3 linked regions of the Saccharomyces cerevisiae S288C genome follow. The gene in region 2 interacts genetically with the main gene of each other region. Each region holds a gene or a part of one and is shown on either strand. Other genes may lie near its edges.

What was found.
Region 1: mutations in FAR3 (region 2) and WHI3 together harm fitness more than expected from each alone (negative genetic interaction), as found in Saccharomyces cerevisiae (2 studies listed by BioGRID).
Region 3: mutations in FAR3 (region 2) and VHS3 together harm fitness more than expected from each alone (negative genetic interaction), as found in Saccharomyces cerevisiae (2 studies listed by BioGRID).

Annotation. Positions count from the first base shown.
Region 1 is NC_001146.8:267,059-274,243, reverse strand, and holds WHI3 (mRNA-binding protein WHI3), read left to right. Parts: upstream 1-4,650; coding exon 4,651-6,636; downstream 6,637-7,185. Other genes in the region: YNL194C (uncharacterized protein), read left to right, coding at 629-1,534; YNL195C (uncharacterized protein), read left to right, coding at 1,936-2,721; SLZ1 (Slz1p), read left to right, coding at 3,073-3,969. UniProt on the Saccharomyces cerevisiae protein: Involved in size control and cell cycle.
Region 2 is NC_001145.3:375,378-380,700, reverse strand, and holds FAR3 (Far3p), read right to left. Parts: upstream 1,116-5,323; coding exon 501-1,115; downstream 1-500. Other genes in the region: STB2 (Stb2p), read left to right, coding at 1-355; YMR051C (gag protein), read left to right, coding at 2,376-3,698. UniProt on the Saccharomyces cerevisiae protein: Participates in the control of the reentry into the cell cycle following pheromone treatment.
Region 3 is NC_001147.6:427,284-434,483, forward strand, and holds VHS3 (phosphopantothenoylcysteine decarboxylase complex subunit VHS3), read right to left. Parts: upstream 2,575-7,200; coding exon 550-2,574; downstream 1-549. Other genes in the region: NOB1 (rRNA-binding endoribonuclease), read right to left, coding at 2,964-4,343; co-chaperone SGT1, read left to right, coding at 4,903-6,090; ASE1 (Ase1p), read right to left, coding at 6,405-7,200. UniProt on the Saccharomyces cerevisiae protein: Component of the phosphopantothenoylcysteine decarboxylase (PPCDC) involved in the coenzyme A synthesis. Acts as an inhibitory subunit of protein phosphatase PPZ1, which is involved in many cellular processes such as G1-S transition or salt tolerance.

The DNA.
Region 1 (7,185 bases), on a different chromosome or scaffold from region 2:
AAAAAGCAAATCAAATTCAAAATTACGTATGCAACTACGAAAATTTGGCTCCCAACATAATCTTAAGGGCCTTCGTCATCACTAACTGGTCCAAAAGAATATCGCAGATGCCGAAACTATCACCTTTTCATACGTTGAATTTTTGAGAAAATTAATCACTTACAAAGACTCCTCGAAATTACGGCAAGGACACCCCCTGAAGTGCACAGCCGCACAGCCGCACAAGTCGGATTTGGGAAGACGACAAAGAGGGGACTTCTAGAACAAAATTGCTCCCCAGCGTCTTTTAAGGGAGGGGGTTGCAATGCAAAAGCACCCTGTATATCATCAAATCTTGCATTACTACCCGCAGTTTGTACTATTTACAAGGACGTAAAAGTGGGATGAACGGATGGAAAGATGAGATCACTATTCCCTGTTTTCTGTCTCCGCTGTTATCCCCTGCTTTCGATATAAAAACATTAGCTAAATACCCTAACAACTTATATTATGTTAGAGATCCTATCTGTAATTCTTATCCGAAATTAGCCACTTTTCTAGGGTTTTCAAACAACCATAAACAATTACTTGTATTGCGATCACGATAAGCATTAAGTATAACCTCATATATTTCCGTTTCTAATAATCAATGTCCTACAAAAAGTTTGTGTACTTTATTAACCTTTTCTTTCTACTAGGGGCTACATTGTTGACTTTTTTTCTGATACTAGCAGGTGGCAGGACCACAGGAGTGTTGAAGAATTTTTATTGGTTTCAGGCATCCACTTCGGGCTTTAACTCGGCGCCCTCCGTAACCAGATGGTACAATTATAACTGGTGCGGCTGGGAAAGCCGCGGAATAGCAGTCAACTGCTCTTCTAAGATGGCAGCTCAGCCGTTTTCACCAAGGGACAACTTTGGCAGTTCCCCCCTCATGCCCTCAACTTTTTTAAACAACAGAAATGCCTACTATTATCTTTCAAGAGTGGGCTGGGCAATGCTTCTAATCGGGCTTTTCTTTTTGTTAATCACGTTAGTTTCGGTTATTGCCAGTTTAATCAGATACAATAGACGTACCGCCGCTCTGGCAACTGCAATGAGCTGGATCACGCTTTTCTTCATAACCCTATCCGCTTGTCTGTACACAGGATGTTACGCTAAGGCAGTAAAGGCGTTTCACCATGAGAATCGTGATGCTAGACTAGGTCCCAAGAATTTTGGGCTTATTTGGACCACAGTATTTTTGTTAATTGTAAACGCCATTTGCTGTACTATCATGGTGGCTACTCATAAAAGAAACGAGTACATCTATGACCGCAGTTTCGCTTCTACCAAGACAGTGGACTCACAAACTCCAACTCCAGTTCCAACAAATGGAGGAATACCTTCCTCGGTGCCTGTAACTGAGGTCCAACAATCTCAATCCCACCAGAATCATAGGTTCTTTAAGAAATTGAGAACGAAAAAGAGAACTGTGACTAGCGCAGGCGATGAACCAGACCGGGTTCAAGAGGAACGCGTCTATACTGAACAGAATGTTCCTGTTGTATCATAGGGTGCAAAGGAGGCTTTTTTTTCCCTTATTATTAAAGCTAGGATTACAAATAATAACAAACCTAATTGCAGCGATTAGCCTTCTCCTATTCTCTGTTGATACCAATTTTATTTATTACTAATATTTTGCACCGATATTCCACTAATCTTTTATGTTTCCCTAAATATAATATCTTTAATTCTCAACCTCTAATAATACTAATACTATACGTCAAACAATGTAATGATACCATCTAATAAAAAGAAATCGTATTTTAACTTCCTTTTAATGTATCATACACATCTTACTAACTCTTTTTCTTTTCTTTTCACTATTTCGACAGCAATGAATTAGACACAAACCAAGAGTCTTCTGCTACACAGCACGGCTTCGGCTACCATATTGACAAATCTTATGACAGGATGCTGGGTTTGGGCCAATCTGCTCAAGCATATGCAAGTGATGATGCTCTCAATATGAACCAGGCAAAGGATAAAACGTACAGCGTTCCAGGGTGTGGCAGGGCAAGCGACCTCAAATATCCTCATCGTGACGGACACTCTTCGTCTCACGAACAGCGCTCTGGAATTTTACCAACTGAATGCCCAGGCCCTACTTTAAACACCGGTGCCGGTAGCATCGGTATCCCGGGATGTGGCAAAGTCACAAATAGAGTGGTCAGTGACTATAACAAAAACGCTAGGTCTACGCTAGCCAATTTTGATAGTAGTAAAATGACCGAGGCAAGAATGAACAGCAAGAACGTGCCGATTGGTTGTCAAGACACCTCTGATCCGCACTTCAATGGGCCTATCGACCAACATGTTCCCGGTGCAGGTTCACCTCAAAGTCAACCTCATCACATCGACGCGTGGAACAGCGTTTCTTCTCGCCGTGCCGATAATAACAACCAAGACATGATGGACCCCCAAACGGCTTCCTCAGACAGGTACAATGAGAAAATGATGAGAGAAGAAAATAGCGGCGTCTCTGCTTCTTCTTACACCACTAAAGTGCAGGGATATCCCGCAAGTATTCCATCATTCAATCAGGAAACTGAGGAAAAGGAAACCTACGCCTACGGTGTGGGTGATCGGCACAATGTCCCAAGAAACCAAATTATGGATGAGACTAATCCTTCGGCTAACGTTCTAAACGCTACTGATCATAGTATTTCGCACCCTGAGAATAAGGTCTTGCATAAGTAGTTTTTGTTTTTCCTACAGTTTTTATTTATAACCAACCTTATACTTTTATATCCTTGTCTACATATTATTGTCATAACGAATTTTTTATTGGTTAAATGCAGCTATTGCGTTCTCTTTATTGCATAAATATATTCTATTACAATATGGGAGGGCATTATCAGCCTCCATGTGCTTGCGTGCTGTCAAAGAAGGAGTGCGGGGATGACAATATGAATAGCCGCCGAAATTATGCCCGGCTGCAGTTGACCGTATAAATAACAGTGCTTCAATGAAAGGACACAAAAAGCAAGATCGTCCCATTTTCTACCTTAATCAGTATAGTAAAAATCAAAAACATAATATATTACTGTTATGATGAATAAAGTAGATCAAATCATCGGTTACAAAAAGTACGAAGTGAAACTACCAAAAGATCGACAAGTAAAGAAAAATAAATCAAAAGGTGGAAATGTTGATCAAATAGATACTAAGAGGGAAAAGGATAAAATGAGAGCTTTTGGTGAAGAAAGGAAAAAGTTCTTAGATAAAATGGCTAAAAACAAAAAAAAAAATACAAGTAGAAAAGATAGAGAGAAGCCAAAAGAAGTAGAAAAAGAAAACTACAAAAGAGAAGACAAAAGGCTAAAAGAACAGAAAAAATTATCACTGGCAAAAGAATTTCGTTTCAAAGAACCGAATTCAGAAGCCATTAATCAGAACACAGCAGCTGAAAATGGTAAACCTAAACCACAGACTGGACTAGATTTTGACATAGACCATCAAACCGTGTCCAAGATCATGATAGATCAGGCTATTCAAACATCTAGTCCTCTTAATGTCCAACTCACGGAACTTTTCAATGATAACGTCCTCGACGTCTCGAAAGATAGTCAGTTTGTCCTTCAAGACATGGAGTTCACCTCCTGGGAACGACGCTGGTCAAACTGCAGCACGACCAGTAATGCGACTACGGTCTCATCAGTTCCTGATCCCAAATATAATATCAACTACAACGACATAACCTCCTTCAATTCAGTAGCGCTAATTACCGAAGATCTTAACATATCTGCATCATCTAATGGTCTGCATGAGAGAGGTAAAAAGCTACTGCAGCAAGAGATGGAATACTCAAACAAGGTCAAAAATGTCACCATCGGGCTTGAAAGATTGTGTATGGATGAAAAACCAGTCCCAGATGCAGGAATAACCATGCAACAAGCGTCGCGCTGGTCAGAATTCCCCACTTGTTGCGATCAAGCTGCTATTTAGCTTTTCTAATTTAAAAAATTTATAAACTTCTTATAGTATTTCATCTTTATATCAAATACTATTAGCAAAATAAAAGGAAAGGAAAGGGAAAGGAACTTCTTTAGACTGCTTCGCACTGATTCTATCGCCATCCTTCTTCATGTTCTCAACTATTGGATATCTGCTCTATTTAGAACAATCGTTATTGTTACCCGCGTTAAATGGGGTAACTGATTGCTGCTTTTTTTTCTCGTTGTTTTGGACCTTTTCGGACATGAGAGGTCAAAAGAAAAAACAAACACGACCAAGTAAGCCGGAATAAACAAGTATAACCACCTGATTGAATTGCCTTCTTTAAACAAGCACAGACCTCCAAAAAGAAAAGGCTTTTGAAACGCTGCTCACGCACAGTTGTTTATTCCGTCCACATATTTTACGTGTCAGTTTCCTTTCTGTCTTCTCTTTATTCAATCAATTAGCATTAAAGAGAAAATAAGTCGTGTACTTTGAAAACCTTCTGTTCCTGTTTTCTTCCCGTATTTTTCATTTGCTTCACCAGCTTTTTCTCAACTGATCATATCATTTCAAGTTAAAAGTCTTTGTCATCACTTTTCTGTGAGTTGCAAATATTTGTAAGCGTCACTTACCTAGAGCAGCCTTTATCGATCAATATTTCAGAGGGAAAAACCTGTATCTCTTAGCATGCAAAGTTCAGTTTATTTTGACCAAACAGGGTCATTTGCGTCCAGTAGCGACAACGTTGTGTCTAGTACCACCAACACACACAACATTTCTCCCAGTCATCGTTCCAGTTTGAATCTGAACACTACTTCTCATCCCCACGAAGCGTCGGGTAGAGGAAGCGCAAGTGGGGAGTTGTATTTGAATGACACAAACTCACCCTTAGCGATATCTTCTATGCTAAACACACTTGCCCTTGGAAGTATGCCCCAAGACATTGCAAGCAGCAACATTAGCAATCACGATAACAACATTAAGGGGAGCTACAGCCTAAAATTGTCAAATGTAGCCAAGGATATTACTCTCAGAGAATGCTATGCAATCTTCGCTCTTGCTGAAGGTGTGAAAAGTATAGAATTACAGAAAAAAAACTCTTCATCAAGCATCACTTCTGCCTCATTAGAAGACGAGAATGATATTTTTATCATTGCCAGATTTGAGTTATTGAATCTAGCTATTAATTATGCCGTTATTTTGAATTCGAAAAATGAACTCTTTGGACCCAGTTTTCCCAATAAAACAACCGTTGAAATAATAGATGACACAACAAAAAACTTGGTTTCATTCCCATCATCTGCCATTTTCAATGACACCTCAAGATTGAATAAATCGAACTCGGGAATGAAAAGGCCAAGTCTGTTATCACAAAGATCCAGGTTTTCATTCAGCGATCCATTTTCCAATGATTCTCCTTTAAGCCAACAGCAATCTCAACAGCAGCAGCAACAGCCACAACAGCCACAACAACACTCTACGCAAAAACATTCACCACAACAATGTAATCAACAACAAGTGAATTCTTCAATACCGTTATCTTCTCAAGGCCAGGTTATTGGGTTACATTCTAACCATTCACATCAAGATTTGTCTGTGGAATCAACAATTCAAACATCTGATATTGGCAAATCTTTCCTTTTGAGAGATAACACTGAAATTAATGAAAAGATATGGGGCACAAGCGGTATACCTTCCAGCATCAACGGTTACATGAGCACTCCCCAACCTTCTACGCCAACTTTAGAATGGGGAAATACTTCTGCATCCCAACATGGTTCTTCGTTCTTTTTACCCTCTGCAGCATCGACAGCCATTGCACCTACGAATAGCAACACCAGTGCCAATGCAAACGCCAGCTCCAACAATGGAGCCAGCAATAATGGTGCTAACCAGGCACTCTCTGCCAGCTCGCAACAACCAATGATGCAAATTGGTAACACGATTAACACTTCCCTAACCTCTTCAAATTCATTGCCTCCATACGGTTTAATGTCTTCTCAATCGCAGCACATTTCAAATATGGTAAACACCTCTGATATGAACATTACACCTCAAAAACAGAACAGATTTATGCAACAACCCCAACCAGAGCATATGTATCCTGTGAATCAAAGTAACACTCCTCAAAAAGTACCGCCCGCAAGATTAAGTTCAAGTAGAAATTCACACAAGAATAACTCTACTACCTCATTATCCTCAAATATTACTGGATCTGCCTCGATTTCTCAGGCTGATTTGTCACTACTAGCCAGAATTCCACCTCCTGCCAACCCTGCTGATCAAAATCCACCTTGTAATACCCTTTATGTAGGGAATTTACCCTCCGACGCTACTGAGCAAGAACTAAGACAGCTATTTTCTGGTCAAGAAGGCTTCAGAAGACTATCATTCAGGAATAAGAATACCACATCTAATGGTCATAGTCACGGACCGATGTGCTTCGTTGAATTCGATGATGTCAGTTTTGCAACCAGAGCGTTAGCTGAATTGTATGGTAGACAGTTACCTCGCTCCACTGTGAGCAGTAAGGGAGGTATCAGATTAAGCTTTTCAAAAAACCCACTGGGTGTTAGGGGCCCAAACAGCAGAAGAGGAGGCAGTGGTAACCCAAATCCTAATGTAAATATGCTTTCCAGTTACAATTCTAATGTTGGTCATATAAAAAACTAAAAAAATGGTTCCGCAAAAACCTGATTTCCTTGCATGTATCACATTATATGCATTGCTTTTCATCTTTCCCCCACTATAATAAGAATAATATTTTCTGTCGCATTTTTTCTTTTTCTTTTATTATTTGTTATAATAATATTTTCTAAACCGACTAATAATAAGAATAACATCGATAATACTTTATCTCTTCAATTACGTTAAATTATCTTTTTACTATTACATTACAACGTGCATATAACAGAAATTTTTTCTTTTTCTGTCTAACATTTGAATTGTACTATGAATTAAACCCGCCATCTTTTTTCTTAACTACCATTTTGCGAACTCCTATACCGCTTCTGCAACAACAAGAACTTTTATTTTCAATTTTAATGTGCCATTCATTCCATTTTGCTTGCGCTAATGTGAATAAGATTGAGAGGGAAAAGTCTCACTATCGAATATCGCTCTTTAGTGTGATTATTGTCATCAAAGCACCAAGTGCTTAGGTGAGGTCATATCCGACAAATGTTTTGAAGAGAGAATATCTTTTTTTTATGCTGCCAACTT
Region 2 (5,323 bases):
ATCTAGGTTGAAATATGATATGAGGATATTGGAAGTTCGTGTACGAGATATTGAAAGTAGTGTTGCTCAGTTTGATTCCAAATTAATTGGGTTGAAAAGCTCTCTTCAGGGACAGGGTAAAACTGGAATATGCTCTGCAATAGATCCCAAGAGTGATAAAGACGAATATGATAGATGCGTAAATGATTTGATGACCACTAACAACCCCACCTATGAAGCTCTTTGTTTAAAGATGCTGAGCCGCCGTTATTTTAAAGATTTAAAGAATGATACTGTGGGGTGGTTCAGGTGGTTATTTGGTAATAATTCTTTACACAATAATGCCAGTGAAGACGATAGAGGAATACGAGTATGATTTTTTTCGGTTCATCCTAATTTTTTTTTTTTTTCAAAAGGGATCTAAACATTTATCCGTTGTTATAAGTATATTAAAATATATAAATGCATTCAAAGGTTTGCTATTTCACGTCTGCTTACACTTTTGTTCGATCCATCGTAGGCTATTTCAGTACCTGGTACGTGTCTTGCAGGTATTCCAACTGTTTTTTAAAGCGGCTGTAATCTCTGGAATCTTTAGATATACGATCCCAATCCACTTCCTTCAAAAGTTTTTCAAACTGTTTGATAATTGAATGCAATTTTTTTTTTGTTTCTTCATTTTCTGTCTTCAATGACTCGTAATTTTGTTGAAGACTTTTGTTCCTTTCATCAAGCTTCTCTGATGAAAATGTGGCAATATTTCGTTCTCTTATTGCATTCTGTTCGTCGATAAAATTTTTAATATATGAGAAATGCTCATTTATGTTGTTAATTAGCGCAACAGCCTTTGTATTGAAGTACTCTTGTTTTTCAATCTCGTATATGAGTTTAAAATTTTCGCTGATAAGCTTCTGTGCCTCAGTGGGGGGAGATGCTTTTTGAGATGCATTATCTTTCCATGAATCTGGAATTATGTTTTTGCTCAAATTATCATAAGATATTCCTGACTGTTTGGCAAGGCGCTTTAACAATAGTTCTATTCGATCGGTCTCTTGTCTGTTAGCCCGACACTCTGCACTTAAAGCTTTTGTTAATTGAAGAAGATAATCGAAACTATCACTACCACCGCTATTCATATTTGCAAATCACTATATATACTGCTCTGTGCGAACTTATGATGGAAAAAACGAGCAAGAAGTAATAAATCACGGTTTAACTTTCTTCATTAATCGCCGAATGCTAGCCGGAGCTTTGAATGAACCTTTTATTGTGGTTATATTGTTATACAGGTGTCAATATAAACAATAAAAGTTGAAGCGGTGGCTCAATGGTAGAGCTTTCGACTCCAATTAAATCTTGGAAATTCCACGGAATAAGATTGCAATCGAAGGGTTGCAGGTTCAATTCCTGTCCGTTTCAATTTATTTTTTAGCCCTGTGCTTGAGATTATCGTCGACAATGACCAGCTATAAGCTGGCAAGATTGATGCTCTAAAACGCGGGGAATAAAATAATCAAGATGATTAATTGTTGGGATTCCATTGTTGTTAGAGCCTACAATATTAGGTACACAGAATATACTAGAACTTCTTCTCGAGGATGTAGGAATCGTCAAAAGGGAATCGATAGTTTTACGTAACGATATTACTTTATGTTCTTTCTGTTGGAATGAAGCTATAAAATATCATCTGTTCAGTAGTATTCATGCCACTCGTACATTATCATATACAGTGTAAGAAGATGATCTAAACATTGAGAAACAGTCGTAAAATTTAATGGAAGCAGAAATATAAGGATTGATAATGTACTAGGATAATGAAACATACGAAAGGGAGGGAGAAATAATTGTAATTGTATTATATAGGAGTATCGATTCCAATTTGAGGATTGGTATATCTCTCAGGGGAAATTTTATTATATTCTGTACACATAATAAAATAAAGCCCTTGCGAACAATAGAATCCCAACGGTTATCAAATTATTCACAAATTGATCACTTCCTTTTTATACTTTCCCTCTCGCTTCTTATTACATTATCAATCATTGCATTTCAGCTTCCCCTAAATCTGGTGACTGTTTCTCAATCTTTAGATCACCTTCTGTTGGAATAAAAATCCACTATCGTCTATCAACTAATAGTTATATTATCAATATATTATCATATACGGTGTTAAGATGATGACATAAGTTATGAGAAGCTGTCATCGATGTTAGAGGAAGCTGAAACGCAAGGATTGATAATGTAATAGGATCAATGAATATAAACATATAAAACGGAATGAGGAATAATCGTAATATTAGTATGTAGAAATATAGATTCCATTTTGAGGATTCCTATATCCTCGAGGAGAACTTCTAGTATATTCTGTATACCTAATATTATAGCCTTTATCAACAATGGAATCCCAACAATTATCTAATTACCCACATATATCTCATGGTAGCGCCTGTGCTTCGGTTACTTCTAAGGAAGTCCACACAAATCAAGATCCGTTAGACGTTTCAGCTTCCAAAATTCAAGAATATGATAAGGCTTCCACTAAGGCTAACTCTCAACAGACAACAACACCTGCTTCATCAGCTGTTCCAGAGAACCCCCATCATGCCTCTCCTCAACCTGCTTCAGTACCACCTCCACAGAATGGGCCGTACCCACAGCAGTGCATGATGACCCAAAACCAAGCCAATCCATCTGGTTGGTCATTTTACGGACACCCATCTATGATTCCGTATACACCTTATCAAATGTCGCCTATGTACTTTCCACCTGGGCCACAATCACAGTTTCCGCAGTATCCATCATCAGTTGGAACGCCTCTGAGCACTCCATCACCTGAGTCAGGTAATACATTTACTGATTCATCCTCAGCGGACTCTGATATGACATCCACTAAAAAATATGTCAGACCACCACCAATGTTAACCTCACCTAATGATTTTCCAAATTGGGTTAAAACATACATCAAATTTTTACAAAACTCGAATCTCGGTGGTATTATTCCGACAGTAAACGGAAAACCCGTACGTCAGATCACTGATGATGAACTCACCTTCTTGTATAACACTTTTCAAATATTTGCTCCCTCTCAATTCCTACCTACCTGGGTCAAAGACATCCTATCCGTTGATTATACGGATATCATGAAAATTCTTTCCAAAAGTATTGAAAAAATGCAATCTGATACCCAAGAGGCAAACGACATTGTGACCCTGGCAAATTTGCAATATAATGGCAGTACACCTGCAGATGCATTTGAAACAAAAGTCACAAACATTATCGACAGACTGAACAATAATGGCATTCATATCAATAACAAGGTCGCATGCCAATTAATTATGAGAGGTCTATCTGGCGAATATAAATTTTTACGCTACACACGTCATCGACATCTAAATATGACAGTCGCTGAACTGTTCTTAGATATCCATGCTATTTATGAAGAACAACAGGGATCGAGAAACAGCAAACCTAATTACAGGAGAAATCCGAGTGATGAGAAGAATGATTCTCGCAGCTATACGAATACAACCAAACCCAAAGTTATAGCTCGGAATCCTCAAAAAACAAATAATTCGAAATCGAAAACAGCCAGGGCTCACAATGTATCCACATCTAATAACTCTCCCAGCACGGACAACGATTCCATCAGTAAATCAACTACTGAACCGATTCAATTGAACAATAAGCACGACCTTCATCTTAGGCCAGAAACTTACTGAATCTACAGTAAATCATACTAATCATTCTGATGATGAACTCCCTGGACACCTCCTTCTCGATTCAGGAGCATCACGAACCCTTATAAGATCTGCTCATCACATACACTCAGCATCATCTAATCCTGACATAAACGTAGTTGATGCTCAAAAAAGAAATATACCAATTAACGCTATTGGTGACCTACAATTTCACTTCCAGGACAACACCAAAACATCAATAAAGGTATTGCACACTCCTAACATAGCCTATGACTTACTCAGTTTGAATGAATTGGCTGCAGTAGATATCACAGCATGCTTTACCAAAAACGTCTTAGAACGGTCTGACGGCACTGTACTTGCACCTATCGTAAAATATGGAGACTTTTACTGGGTATCTAAAAAGTACTTGCTTCCATCAAATATCTCCGTACCCACCATCAATAATGTCCATACAAGTGAAAGTACACGCAAATATCCTTATCCTTTCATTCATCGAATGCTTGCGCATGCCAATGCACAGACAATTCGATACTCACTTAAAAATAACACCATCACGTATTTTAACGAATCAGATGTCGACTGGTCTAGTGCTATTGACTATCAATGTCCTGATTGTTTAATCGGCAAAAGCACCAAACACAGACATATCAAAGGTTCACGACTAAAATACCAAAATTCATACGAACCCTTTCAATACCTACATACTGACATATTTGGTCCAGTTCACAACCTACCAAAAAGTGCACCATCCTATTTCATCTCATTTACTGATGAGACAACAAAATTCCGTTGGGTTTATCCATTACACGACCGTCGCGAGGACTCTATCCTCGATGTTTTTACTACGATACTAGCTTTTATTAAGAACCAGTTTCAGGCCAGTGTCTTGGTTATACAAATGGACCGTGGTTCTGAGTATACTAACAGAACTCTCCATAAATTCCTTGAAAAAAATGGTATAACTCCATGCTATACAACCACAGCGGATTCCCGAGCACATGGAGTCGCTGAACGGCTCAACCGTACCTTATTAGATGACTGCCGTACTCAACTGCAATGTAGTGGTTTACCGAACCATTTATGGTTCTCTGCAATCGAATTTTCTACTATTGTGAGAAATTCACTAGCTTCACCTAAAAGCAAAAAATCTGCAAGACAACATGCTGGCTTGGCAGGACTTGATATCAGTACTTTGTTACCTTTCGGTCAACCTGTTATCGTCAATGATCACAACCCTAACTCCAAAATACATCCTCGTGGCATCCCAGGCTACGCTCTACATCCGTCTCGAAACTCTTATGGATATATCATCTATCTTCCATCCTTAAAGAAGACAGTAGATACAACTAACTATGTTATTCTTCAGGGCAAGGAATCCAGATTAGATCAATTCAATTACGACGCACTCACTTTCGATGAAGACTTAAACCGTTTAACTGCTTCATATCAATCGTTCATTGCGTCAAATGAGATCCAACAATCCGATGATCTTAACATAGAATCTGACCATGACTTCCAATCTGACATCGAACTACATCCTGAGCAACCGAGAAATGTCCTTTCAAAAGCTGTGAGTCCAACCGATTCCACACCTCCGTCAACTCATACTGAAGATTCGAAACGTGTTTCTAAAACCAATATTC
Region 3 (7,200 bases), on a different chromosome or scaffold from region 2:
ATCAGTAAAGCAGAATAAATAGCGGTTTAGCGGATAGGCTGCTTGATCCTTTTATCCAAGATGTATGATAGAGTCAGGAACTCTTCAAGCGGGAAAGGCGAGAATATCTCTTATGCAAAGTCTAAGACTTCGGTGGCAAGTATTTCCCTTTTATATCTTCTTTGCTTCTGGGCCGATGCAGTCTTTGCCACCGCCCCCTTCTTTCTTTTTTTCCCTGACAGGGCCGAAGCTCGCAGAAAACAGAAAGGTGAAACGAACCGCAGAGCTGTGGAGCATTTGATCTCACCCGCTTTGCGATAAGCTGGCAAGGTTAAATCGGATTTGAACCACTCCCTTTCCCTCAGAATGAACATCCGATAGAGTGACGACGCACCTCCGCAGCATCGTAAGCGCTAACTATGAGACATAAAACTCCCTTTGGAAAATGAGTTAAGTGTCCTACTTGCCTATTTTTAGCCTTCTCTTCTGGTTATCAGTGATTAATGCAAATTTATTCTATGTAAAGATATATATAGTTCAAAAGTTTTACAATAATGAAATTAGTCCTATTTAAGATCGCTGTAGCCCTCCTTTATCTTCTTTCTTTTTTCCTTCATCGTCTTCATCTTCGTCTTCGTCATCTTCATCGTCGTCGTCGTCGTCGTCATCATCGTCGTCATCATCGTCGTCATCATCATCATCGTCGTCGTCGTCGTCGTCGTCGTCGTCGTCGTCGTCGTCATCATCGTCATCATCATCATCGTCATCGTCGTCGTCGTCATTATCTTCATCTTTACCACCAGTATCGTTCTTCTTATTATCATCCTCCTCATCGTTATCTTCATCCTCTTCTTCTTCCTTTCCCGCAGAAACATCGGGATAACCACCTAGTTTGACGACTATCTTGCCAACAATCTCATTTGCATCCATCATCCCACTTAACCCGATGTCACCGTTTATGCCCATGACTTTTTCTGAGGGTTTAAATACAGTTACCCAAGGCATCTCTTCTTGAATAATTCGAAAATGTTTTTTAGTCATTATGGAATTGAACGTACCGCTACCCATTGAAGGCGCTAGGAATATGGGAAACGTTGGATTCCATGCCCTTATTACACTTGTCAAAAGGTTGTCACATAAACCAAGGGCAATCTTGGCCAACGTGTTTGCGGTTAATGGTGCGACAACTAGTATATCTGCCCAACGACGTAGTTCTATGTGTAATACAGGATCAGTTCGTTGTCGCCATACATCCCACTCGTCTTGGTCTGTCCAAAATTGTATATGTGCTGGCAGTTCAATTTGAGGATGTTGCGATACAACGTTTGAAGAGTTGCTGTACGTACGACTACCACCAAGTGTCGAAGGAAATCCAGTAGTAGAGGCCATTTGTTTTTCTTCCTCCTGTTTATTATTTGTCTGAGAAGCCGCTGAGTTTGAAGACGTCTTCTGAATGCTAAATTTTTCAAGAGAGGCTACTTTTTTCTTGTTACCAGTTATATTGCCAGCATTAGAATTGGTGCTGTTGAAAGAAGTATCGATACTATTGTGTTGTTTCTTATTTTTCCTCATATACTTCATTGCAAAAAATTTGGTTGCTGAGTTAGTTAGTATAACTTGTATGCATATTTTGTCCCTTCCGTAAATTTCTTCTAATTTTCTGATCATGTGCTTGAGTTTGAAAACAGACAAAGAACCTGTTGCCCCAAAAAGAACGTGTAGCTTGCCGTCATCTTGGGGAAGCCTTGGATCCATATTGGTCATAATATTTTCTCTCTTCAAGGGATTTGAGACTGCATTGGGAGACATTGCTTCTTCCAAGACAGACTCCAACAATGTGGGCTCTCCAGTCTTTGATATGGAGCCCTCTCGTTCAATGTTGATGGGGTTAAATGTATTCACTACCACAGAGGGGCGAGGACTAGTACTGTTAGACCTTGATCTAACTGATGGGGTGTGTAAAGGATCTTCCACGTAGAAATGTGGGTGCTCCTTTCTGGGGCTATCGGAACTATTGTCAGAGTTTAAAATAGAATCTGTTCCACCGGTGAAACTTAGCTTTTTAGCCAGCAGGCTGGATATGTTATTCCCCATATCAGCATTGGAGAGAATAGAGGTTGGAGTCGAAAAAGAAGAAGCAGAAGCCTCGCCATCTTTTGGTACTTTTGTATTTATGTCTTTCAAGTTTCTTCCTTGATTTGCACCCTCCGCTGCGATGTGTACAGACGTTGCTTTCTTTTCGCTGGACTGTCTGGCCACCTGGTTAGGTGGAGTTTGCTCCACATCCGACCTGAGACTACCCAACTTTGGATCGCTGAATGTAACAGTTGGTATCCTTTTTAACCCTGGCTCTGGTGTATTACTTACAACTGCCCCAGAAGTTCCGCTAGCATTCATGATTGACTTAGTTTGTGAACCAGTGGGACTAGTTGATTTCCTTACTACAGGAGTGTCCAGACTAGAAACGGAAGAAAATGGTCCCGTAGAATTTGTGTCAGGCATTGCCGATGAACCTATATTGGCCTGCTCAGCTCCAGAGAGAGTATTCGAAGCAACCCCTTTCCTATTGTTCTTCAGGCTAGATTTGTTTGTCATTGCGTCTCTGCACTATAATTATGGCCAGTATTCCTCTTTCTGGTCTCTTCTTTGAACTAAAGTAATCTTATAAAAGGCTATCCTTTTTTTGGCAATCTAGTATTAATCCTGATCAAAAAGTCCTCAAAACGAGCCCTCTTCAAAGTGCTGTAACACCATTCATCTCATAAGGGGAGGGCATACTGAGCAATAAAACGTTTTCTTACCTTTTCGGTCTTTTGGACTCTCCAACCAGAAAGTTAAAGGGCAAAAAAGCTCACATGACACGCTTGTTTTGGAAAACGTCATAGAAAAACCACGTGAAAAAAAAAAAAAAAAAAAAAAAAAAAAGAAAAAGAAAAAGGGCAGCTGCCAACTAGTACACACTACACAGATATTTATGAAAAACACTAACTTCTCCTTTTGGAACTGTTGACGTACCTTCCCTTACCAATGCGGACGTTATGCTGCTTCAACCCAGTAATTGCAAATGGAGAAATATAGTTATCCGCAGAACCGCCACCAATCCAATTGTTTAGAATCTTCTCGTTGTGTCTTCTTGTCCATTCTTCTTGCTTTATCACCTTTTCGTACTCCTTTTGATCTTCTCTGAGAATCACATTTTCCTGTGGTTTAGAATGTACGTGTCCCTTTTTGCCGTACCTTTTTTGGGAGTTCTTAGATAAGGGGCTGGCTACAGAATATCTGTTTCCTCTATTGTTCCATTGGAAGTTCGACTTCAAGTGCGGTGTAACGTTCCCCGTGCGTGAGTCAACGGAAACTGCGCATCTTAATAAGGTACCCTGTCCACCGCATGAGGCACAGAAGTGCTTTGGCTTGCCGTCTTTTGGTAGAGGAAATATTTTGAAACAGGCGTGGCATCTTAGCATATAATTACGGATTCGCTTGATTTTCAGACCTGACATGAAATTCATTAGATTTAGATTCATCTGCAACGCTACATTTTGGACGGCAAAATCGCCAGTCGCCAATGCCACCTGATTCTCTGGTCGATTCAATGCGACATGGCGATCCTCTTCGGACGCTTCTACACCCAATGAACCAGTGGTATCTTCACCACTATCCTTAATAATTGCTTCTGTTAAGTTCTCGGGGGTAATCCAATCACCATCATCATCAGCATCCTCGAATACTTCATTTAAATCGGAAGATTCCTTTATATTTTCATCATTACATATCTGCTCTTTGGATCCAGCCTCCTCAACATGTTCCTCAGCTTTACTCTCTAGCTCAAGGTTTGCATTTTCAGCTTCTCTTGCTTCTCTTGCTTCTCTTTTTGCCTTTTGCTTTTTTCCACCTCTTCTCTTGTTCTTTTTTTTTGGAACACTTTCAGAGTCCTCCTCCTTTTTATTATCTTCTGTGAGCTTCTGTTTGCCGTCCGTACCAACGTCAGCCTTGGACGCATCTAATGCATCACCTGGTTTTTTCCTCAGTCTCCAATCGCCATTATTTAGTTTAATTTCTAACTCGTATGTCAAAGCAAGAATATGCAAATCATTGGCACTCAGTACGGAGTAGTCACCGGTCAATTTGGCGAACGTACTTACTTTGGCTATCGAGTTTTCACTTGGATGTACTAATTTCAAAGTTCCGAGGCTCTGCCAAATTTCAAGGTTTTTCCTTGCTTGAGCATCCTTAATTTCTTGAAAAACTGTGGGAGTAGTATAAAAAGACTGTGCATAATTCTGGTAATGTGTGTAGGACTGCGTAATTAATGGGGTGGCATCCAATATCAACGCCCTTACATGTGCGGTTTGGTTTTCGGTCATATTATGCTCCTTTAAAGAAACTTTAGAAAAATACTGAACTATGATCGCCGATGAGATTTATCTAGCGCTGACTGAACGACCTCTATGTTAAGAACATACTTGAGATAATGGTGCTGTTTCTCCATGTAGACTTCTTCTTAGCAGGTAAAAATTTGCCAATGCAAAACAAAGCTCATCGAAAAATTTTGATCTTGCATTATGGAATGTCCGGGTTTTTCTATTGAGACATTCAAATTTTGAATTCTTCTTCAATAGAACCAGGCTCAGCACAGATACAAGAGAAATGATAGTAGATAATACCGCCATAGTGCTTATGCATCATCTGCTAATTCTTTTAAGAATGATCTTCTCAGTCTTACACTGACGAGCACTATATTGATGACTTTGATCACTATAAACGAAGCCAATATAAGCACTTTAGGGTGTAAGGTCTCAAGATGAGTTGATCATATGCGATATATCTTTGAACGCTAATAATTGAACGAAAGCACTATGACAAAGTAATGGCAGAAGTCTTTTAAGGTTAAAGAGGTAGTTGTTTTAAGGAAACGAAAAAGAAATGCCTGTTGAAAAAGATTTAAAAACTGCCTACAAAGCTTTGTATGATGAGAAGGAACCACTGAAGGCCCTCCATCTTTATGATGAAATTCTCAAAGGCTCACCCACAAATTTAACGGCTCTCATTTTTAAGGCAGCATGTCTTGAAAAGCTATACTTTGGGTTTTCTGATTGGCACAGCGATGCAACTATGGAAAACGCAAAGGAACTTCTTGACAAGGCTCTAATGACAGCTGAGGGTAGGGGCGATAGATCGAAGATTGGTCTTGTTAACTTTCGTTATTTTGTTCATTTCTTCAATATCAAAGATTATGAACTGGCCCAATCTTATTTTAAAAAAGCCAAGAATCTTGGTTACGTTGATGACACTTTGCCTTTATGGGAAGATCGTCTGGAGACAAAATTGAATAAAAAAAATAAAAAGCAGAAGGATTCAACTAATAAGCATACAATTAAACCAGTGGAAAGTATTGAAAACAGAGGAGATAATAATTCTTCTCATAGTCCCATTTCACCTCTCAAAATTGAAACCGCTCCTCAAGAATCCCCTAAATTTAAAATCGATTGGTATCAATCCAGCACCTCTGTCACTATATCATTATTTACTGTTAATCTTCCTGAGTCTAAGGAACAAGTCAATATATATATTTCTCCAAACGATAGAAGAACTTTATCGATATCGTACCAAGTACCGAAATCTGGATCTGAATTTCAATACAACGCTAAGCTTTCGCATGAGGTGGATCCAAAAGCAGTGTCATTAAAAATTTTCCCAAAAAAGCTGGAAATTACCTTGAGCAAAATTGATAGCACGCAATGGAAGAAGTTGGAAGAAGATATTTTAACGGAATCCTCAAGGTTATCAGATGAGGGTAAAAATTCTGATTCTGCAACCCGCTTATTATCAGCAGAAACGGCATCAAAAGAGAGATTGTCTTATCCATCGTCCTCTAAAAAAAAAATAGATTGGTCTAAACTTGACATTGATGAAGAAGCTGATGAAGAAGCGGGATCGGCTGATAGTTTCTTTCAAAAGCTTTACGCTGGAGCGGATCCAGATACCAAAAGGGCTATGATGAAATCCTTTATAGAAAGTAATGGTACTGCATTGAGTACAGACTGGGAAGACGTATCTAAGGGAACGGTTAAAACTTCACCACCAGAAGGCATGGAACCTAAACATTGGTAAATGATTAGTATATACCTACACAATTACAATATGTAGATATATAGTATGGTAGTAATGTTACATTTTCGATTTAGACTAGCCAACCTGCGTATTTACTTGGAATGCTTACATGATTATATTGAATATTACAAATTTTATTATGTCCATATTAATCCAGAGTCACGGTGCAATGGAAAAAGGAAAGGGAGAATGATAGAATAAAAGAAGGAAAGAAAGAGACAATGTAGCGAAGGCTAGAAAGTGATGTGAAAAAAAAAACCACAAAAAAAATAAATAAGAGATCAGAGGGTTAAATGAATGCGCTTTTAAGAAATTCAAATATCTGTAAAGGAGAATCCATTCAATTTCGAAACTTGCTCATTTTTCCATGTAATAAAATCCTTATCATTTTCATCTTCCATCATACTGGTATCATCAAATCCGCTTTCAATATCTTTTTGTTGAATGTTTAATTGAAATTTACCTTCTGGCGACATGGAAAGTTTATATATGCTGTGCTCAGGTTCTTTATAAGGACTGCTCAATTTTTGTGCGTAATCTTCTAATGAGCTTTTGCGTTCCGGGCTTCGTACATTCTCCTTACCCGTGGTGCCAGTCGACCTTTTAAGAAGTTCTAAAGCCTTTTCTTTAGTTAATTGAGGGATATGACTACCCTTAGTGTCGACTTTGTTCAGCGGGATAGGAAACAATTGGCGTGGTTTTACTGCATGTTCGCCATGCGTATGATTTATCCTAGGCGATGATGAAAGATCGGATGATCTGTTTCTGTTTAAGGTAGGTCTCTCTATATTCCCTTTGGAATTCCTAGATATTACTGTGGGTGCTAGTAATCTTGTTGCTCTTCTGTTCGGACTAGATAACTTCGTTGTTCCTTGCATATGACGAGCAAGCGAGTTCTCTTGGGATAGATCATTCTTTGTTAAGCCTTGTATTGTTTTCTTTGAAGGCGTTTTATAAGTAATGTTGGCATCATTTAAATTCAAACCAATCGGTACCCTGATGGAACTTTCTGTGGCCTTGAAAGTGTTTTTTATGACTTTATTCTCTTTGTTCGCACCACATTTTCCCTTTTTAGATCTCTGCATTCTAACTCTACATCTTGGATATTTT